Lepisosteus oculatus: one gene and its partner. The protein of the gene in region 2 purifies or fractionates together with the protein of the main gene of each other region. This does not show direct contact. Links are inferred from orthologs where the notes say so. Each region holds a gene or a part of one and is shown on either strand. Other genes may lie near its edges.

Region 1 (3,626 bases), on a different chromosome or scaffold from region 2:
TCAAAACCCTCTTCTCCAGAAAAGCCTTTACTGAACTGGTTCCATTCTTCACCCCTCTGCTTTTCCTAGTACCACCATCCACGGTCTCCTCTATATATTGTAATTGTGTTTTATCATGTGTATTCTTTTTATTTATTGTTGTTGTCATTCTGTAAAGTGCTATGAAAAGCCACCTTTAAAGGCGCTATATAAAATAAAGTTTATTATTATTATTATAAACTGAGATATGCCCATTCATGCAGACGGCACGGCTGTGGAGTGTGGGAGTAAACGGGAGCACCAGGCAAACGCCCACAAGGTAGCCGAGGACCCAGACAAGCTGGACAATCGAATCCAGCACACAGGTGTAGAGGCCGCAGCGCGGTCGCACCAAGGAAACCCAAGAAAAAGGATTCTCTTCCGCGCAGCACTCGTGCACATCCCATTTCAAGTGTGGAGTGGCGGTCAGGGCTCCGGCCTTGTAACCGGAAGGGTATGGGTTCAAATCCCAAGCCAGACATTGTTGGTGTAGCCATGGGTAAAGGTGCTGCTCCCATAAAATACATTCGTACCCATTTATAGCGCTAGGTAAGTCAATTTGGGTTAAATTAATCTTTAATTCATACACATACTTTAATTCATGATCTAATTAAGCACACAAGAAGGCCTTTTTTCAACACTATATTACATACCACCACTATATGCAAACAGTGTCAGAGGTCCAGCCCCCGACCCAGATAGGTCCTGTTCTTTTTCGGCATCTTCACCCGGCGGCTACAGATCAGCCTCCCGGCCGGAGAACGATTTGCAAAGCTGGGCCGTAAGGAAATGCCAAAGAGCAGCACCGCTACAGGCATTCCCAGCCAAAACATCCACGATTCTAGTCACTGCAATACTGGATAGTGGCAGTTTTCCTCCGACAGATTAAGTCAAGTGTTTCATTCTGCCGATCCTTCGCCTTTCACCGGGAAACCATTTTAAAACAATGCTTTCTTTGGAGTGTCAGGGGACAGGACCAAAGACTTCCACGAATGCCCGTTTGTCCACAACCTGTCCCAGGCGAATGGTGAAGTACAGGACCTCAGGGTGGCTGTAGCGCTTAAACCGCAGCAACATCTCATTGTGGGGGTCCCCCGTATCCCCGAGGGTCATGATATCCGCCACCGGGACATACTGATCCCGTCTTTGACCCCAGAAGGTCAGGTGGGATACCTTCAGGACGGTTTTAGAGTTGTTAATGTACATCATCCCGATGATGTGCCGGAGGTAGTGGCTCAAAGAGAACAGCATCACGGTGGCAAAGACAGCAACGCCTGTGGCGTAGCTGACGAGGGTGCCGGAGCACAGTCCCTGCGAGAACAGGTAGTATACAGGAGGCAGCGTAACCACGGTGATCCCAGTCTGGAGCAGCTTGAGTCGGGACACTGCCCTGAGGACCCTGATGGCTGGAAGCCTGTAGATCAGGGAGAATTTCTCATTGGAGCGGTTTTCATTGGAGCGGTCTTGGTGGGCTCCAGTTAGCAGCTGGCTGTGCACCCTAAGTGTGGTCCATACTGTGCGTTCCTGCATCGAAGCGAGGGGACGGCGTTCGTGCTGGTGAGGGGTGAAGGAACGGCCACCGACCAGACATCTCTCACGATGCGCTGAAGCAGAAGCGCCGGGCCACACACACGGCGAAGCACGAACGGTTCGCAGAGACAGTATTGATCTGTACTTTAAAGGAGATAAGCGGGGGAAAAGTTTGCTTATTATAGACTCGTGTACTTGACTAATTTATTGTTAATAATGAATAAACCCAAGCATGAAGGTTAAGACACAGACCAAGATTAACATGTCAAATACCACAAAACAGGTGAACTAGCTAACAGTATTCTATTCGACTGGGCTGTAATAAACGTGTCACAATCACAAACGTCTCTTCACACATATCAGAGCAACCCTCCTGAGCATAATAAAAGTATTTGCTAAACAATGCATCATCCTAAACGTAATTGCTTCAGATATTAAAAGGAACGATGGTGCAAAGTCAATTACCATCACAGCAGACCGAAGTTGCAAGCCAAGAGGGATGACATCATAAACGCTCCGGGGGGAAACAAAGCCTTCTTCGACAGAGTACCGAATTCATCGAATTCCCCCTGATCCTTATTTTTTTAAGAACGTTATTGAATCAAACAAAATCGTGTATATGATACTGCTTACTATTAACCGCAAAACGGACATACATTGTTTTTCTAGAGTTCGGTTACTTCAACCATCTCTAAAATAATGTCTTTGTAGTCCACATCCGGACTCGCTAGCTCATTTCCGCCGATGGTGAACCGAAACTGTACTACATGTCCCAGAGTGACACGTAATCTTTTCCTGGTGGAAGAGGTCTAGTGTGACTGTGATATTTGACTTTATTTTCACGTTAATCACAATCAAGACTATCTTTTCATTATTTGAAACAAGCAGTCAGACAGTTAAGAAAATGGCACCATCTGGGAAGGATACGACAACCCTCTGCTTGTTCGATGTCGATGGGACTCTAACTGCAGCAAGACAGGTGAGTTGTAAATATTTCGAGCTGGTTTTCCTGAAATGCTCGTTCTTCTTTGGAGAAGCTAAAGATGATCCTGAAAATGTGAAGGGGTCGTCGCGGGATGCTGGGGTATTCAGTTTCAGAAGGCGCGGATTAATGAGGATGACGAGAACGTTTAAATCAGCAAAAATAAAGACGTGTTTCCATTCTGATCTTTCCAAGCCAGTCACTCTGATGTCGAAGTGGCACCGTTGATTTTAGTTTCTGGCTAGCTTTTACGAACATATTTAGACAACACAGAAAGAAAAGGGAAAAGCAAACTGACTTAGAGTTCTTTGAACAATCAACAGTAATCAATAGTTAAAAATAGGGTTTTTCGTTCTTAAATTCTTATGAAACTTTCCCCTCCACAGAAAGTCACCCCTGACATGGATGAGTTTCTTCAGAGGCTGAGAAAGAGGGTGCGAGTTGGAGTAGTTGGGGGATCTGATTTTGAAAAGATCAAAGAGCAGCTCGGAGCAGATGGTGAGTATTGACAAGCCATTAATCATATTGATTGATTAATCATATTGCAAGTCAGTTGGAAGATGAGTGATGGTAATTTGCCCACCCTGAGGCAAAAGCAATACAATGACTTTGTTGTGATCTAGGTTAACTATCTGAAGCCAATCCAGGCTATTAATGCTGTTTTTTCTTTAATAATTATAAAGTATTACATTTAGCAGCTCCAGAATCTGTACAAATGCATGATATTTGTAGGAAGGTACAAGCAACCATACCTGCTGCTAAATGCATCCTTTGTTGTAAAGATATTGTATTTCACATTTGAACCTACACTGGGAACAAAGCCTTGTAAATCTAAGGTATTGTAATTTATGCCTATTTGATCTGAAGATTTTTGAGTGGAGGGGTTTTTAGTACAATTACCTCTCTGCAGGAAGGCTCTCAGGTGCTGGTCAAGACTGAAAGCCTGAGATAATGATCAGTGTAGCTGCAGTATTTGTAGGATATAGCATTAATAACTAAAGTATTAGTATAGTATTAGTAACTAAAGTAGTGTATACAAGGAGGAGAAAAAAAGGTAAATGTAAGAAATTCTGTGCATATGATTATATACGATCTC
Region 2 (3,754 bases):
CTTATAAGATGGTGCCTTGACCACAATCTGGCCCTGAATGTCACCAAGACAAATGAACTCATTGTGGACATCAGGACACCCAGAGGGAGTCTCGCCCCAATCAGCATCGAGGGTACAGCAGTGGAAACTGTCAGCTGCTTCAGATTCCTGGGGTCTGTAGATCTCTACGGACTTGGCTTGGTGTCACAACAGCCGGTCTGAAAAAGGCACAACAGCGCCTGCATTTTCTGCAGCACCATAGAAAGCGTCCTCAGTAGTGGCATCACTGTGTGGTACAGCAGTATTACCATGCATGACAGAGACGCACTACAAAGGGTTGTGGCAACAGCGCACAGGATTATAGGATGTGATTTACCATCAATCGGTGAGATTCACATCATCCGGTGTCGCAATAAAGAACGATCATCATTCAGGATCCCAACCATCCCAGCCACAGACTGTTCTCTGGCAAGTGGGACTGCACTATTAAAGCACGGACCACTAGACTCAAGAACAGTTTCTACCCTACTGCAGCATGTATCCTTAACGACTAACTGCAACGCTTCAGACCCAATACACACCTGCACTATACACGAGCCCCCACTTCCTTACAGACTGAACCAGTTAAACAGGGTCCGTTGAATTCCTGCACACTGATGCCCAAAGAGAGCTCTAGTTCTAGACCTTGTAGGCCTTGGTTCAGCAACAGGCTTTTTGACGGATCATTACTATGAGTTATTTTATTGCTCTCGTCCACCGGGGGCAGTGCGGTGGCTCTGTGGCTCAGGATCTGCCCCTGTGGCTGGAAGGTTACCAGTTCAAATCCCGCGGCTGGCAGAGGAATCCTACTCCGTTGGGCCCCTGAGCAAGGCCCTTAACCCCAGCTGCTCCAGGGGCGCCGTACAATGGCAGACCCTGCGCTCTGACCCCAAGCTTCTCTCCCTGTCTGTGTCTCATGGAGAGCAGGCGAGGGTATGCGAAAAGACGAATTCCTAATGCAAGAAATTGTATATTCCAATAAAGTGATCTTATCTTATCATATCCATTTCCTATCCACTTTATCAAATTCACAGTCTAAGGGAAGCCGGAGCCTATCCCAGTAAGCAACAGGTGCAAACAGGGAACACCCTGGGTGGGACGCCAGTCCATCACAGGCCAGATGGACACGAACGCAGACTCACGCACTCAGAACAGGGCCAGTTTTCCCAGAAGCCAGGTCTTTGGACTGTGGGAGGACAGGAGTTGGCACATTCTCCACACACATAGACAGCACCCCAGGTCCGGACTTAAACTCAGGACCCCACCACGACTGTCATGAATAACACATGACCGTATATCATTATTAATTAATCAATTTGCAGACACTAAAGAAGTGACAGAGAAATTTGAGAACTTGATTGATGTCCACAAGTGCAGAGTCACATTCAAGCAGAAGAGTAATATATAGATACAATAGAGGAAACTAGTTCTGCGCTGAGTCCACTTACAGAAAACATGTATTTATGTTGATACAATTATCATCTTCAAGACAATTTGGGAGAACAATAAAAACGCAAACGATGTTACAATATCGCGATAAAAGTGTACACTAAGTGCATCTAAATATGAGAACAAAGGCTCGTCTTTACACAGAGAGTTATTGGGGTTTGGAACAAACTTATGATCTTTTCGTGTTTCAAATCGTTTAGACTAAACTAACGGAGGAGCGTACCAATGCATGGAAAACAACTCGGAAGAGGAAGGAGAATTAATCACCAGCTCCCAAATCCAAGAGTCGGTGAATACCAGCGCGCTTTGTAGTGTGCTAAACAAACTGTCCTGCCTGGCAACATGTCGCTGAACTTTCTGTAACCACTACAGACACGCCAAGATGAAGAAAAGCGCTGGTGGTGGTTTAAAAGGAGAAAGCGGTCTAACTTTCCCTGCAGGGGCGCTAATCGCACGTGCCTCCGCTCAGCCCTTTTAAACTGGGGGACAGCCGGGCCGAGCGGAAGCATGTGACGCCGATTAGATGCATTAGTTTCAACCGGCCTCGACACCGCCGGACACCGCCGCCAGACGAAAACCTCTTACTTTGTCCAGCAGCTCGCCGGCTGGGGTGTCGACCTCTCCAGCCTCTCCGTCCTCCTCGACCTCCTCCTGGCCGATTCTGACGGGCAGCCCCTCCGCCGAGAACTGCGGCCGCTTAAACTTCTTGTTCTTGCTCTTGCCCATCGCGCTGTCGTCTGCGGGGCGAGGCGGTAGTGGCAGCTAGGCGCGGTTGTGTTACGGGACCCACACGCACTCCGATCTCAAGCGCTGCGCCCGGCCATGTGCGGATCAGTGTAGTGTAGTGTAGCTCGGCTCAGCCCCGCACGCCGCCGCCGTCCATCGCCACGGTCGCGCCGGCAAGCACGCGCACGCCGCGCGGCCTGACGCCGAGCGTGGGGCTGGGCTTGCGCGCGATGGAGCGGGCTCGGGCGCCGCGCGGGGGCTGCTGCCGCCTCGCGGAGAAGGAACAGCCTCTCCCAAGTCCCATGACTTTAAAAATCAAGAAATCGTGTTTTGTGGCACGGATTAAAATCTCTAAAACTTCTGCTTTTGCGCTTCCAGTTGATTTTACATGCAGTAGCTTAAATGGTATTAAAAAGATCACGGCCCTTTAGGTTTAACAGCAGAAGGAAATTGAAGAGAGCGACTAAGCAGCGGGATGTTGTCAGAAATGAACGAGGCAGTCATATTCTATATTGGGTATTCATTTCGCATTGCATTTGAGCTGTTGGAGGTCATTTAACATTTTTCATTGTGCAAAACCATTTCTGCTATTCATCAGAGAAAAACTCCAGGCAGTACAGAGGTAACAGACTGTTTTAATACTGCTGTAAAACTATAACCTTCACAGAGATGGTAAGTGCCAATTCTGTATCGGTAGTCTTTGGGTTTGCACGCTGAACCCATTTTTACATTAAGAGTTCACAAATTTAGTTATATGGGGATCCTTAGGCTAGACAGACTACCCCCCGCAAAAATAAATGTGTGACCAACACCCCTGTCCTGTGAGGTCTCTTCTGTCAGAAACGAACTGATGGTATTTAATGTATCGGCAAAAGATTCTGTCTGGAAGTTGCTAATGTTGATTCAGCTAACACACAAAAGCAAATATTCAGGTAGTTGGGTATCCAGGCCTGGCCTTGTGAGTGGTGTGTGTTTAAGCTTAATTTCTAAATGTTAGCTGTAGTCTCATCACCATCCATTCAGAATTGCTGTTGAGGTTTAAACACAAAACAATACACACAACACTAAAATTGATATTTATTGAAAGATATGGGGAACAAAATTAAATCAGTTACAATAAACATCTGCTACAATTGCACTGTTGGAAATCAAAAGGTTAGTCATGTGCCCGTAAGACTTTTTTTGCCAGAGAAATAATTAAAGCAAAAATATAAAAAAAAACATTCAGAGAATTCTTCTTATAAAGTGATGATAAAATTCTACTATGATGCTTCTAAGCTATGACAGTCTGAAATAATACAATGCAATGCAAGACCACAAAAGATTCAACAGATGGCTTTTGACCAATGTCATTTAAATAACTTTTCAAAGAAACAACAATACTTCAGATTTTTGGCATCCTCATGGAGAGAGAATGTTTCAGCATCCAGTCCTATTTATTAACTGAGTAAAACAGGGTTGCGATTTCTGAATCTAGCAATGCAGCATGTTCATCTCCAAAGACACTTCTACCATGGAAATGAAAAAATGTCAATGTTCAACCTAGGAAAAAAAGGTCAAT

Evidence for each region. Proteins that work in one complex are often made in the same cells at the same time.
Region 1: the proteins of heatr3 (region 2) and tmem186 purify together in Homo sapiens (co-immunoprecipitation; 3 studies listed by BioGRID and IntAct, counting the BioPlex papers as one, with this or other methods). This does not show direct contact. The link is inferred for Lepisosteus oculatus from reciprocal best matches to the Homo sapiens genes HEATR3 and TMEM186.

The regions. Positions count from the first base shown.
Region 1 is NC_090714.1:13,665,459-13,669,084, reverse strand, and holds tmem186 (transmembrane protein 186), read right to left. Parts: upstream 2,214-3,626; 5' UTR 2,017-2,213; coding exon 2,014-2,016; intron 1,693-2,013; coding exon 982-1,692; 3' UTR 577-981; downstream 1-576. Other genes in the region: pmm2 (phosphomannomutase 2), read left to right, coding at 2,453-2,527, 2,917-3,028. UniProt on the Homo sapiens protein: As part of the MCIA complex, required for efficient assembly of the mitochondrial complex I.
Region 2 is NC_090715.1:1,959,510-1,963,263, reverse strand, and holds the start of heatr3 (HEAT repeat-containing protein 3), read right to left. Parts: upstream 2,390-3,754; 5' UTR 2,194-2,389; coding exon 2,053-2,193; intron 1-2,052. UniProt on the Homo sapiens protein: Plays a role in ribosome biogenesis and in nuclear import of the 60S ribosomal protein L5/large ribosomal subunit protein uL18 (RPL5). Required for proper erythrocyte maturation.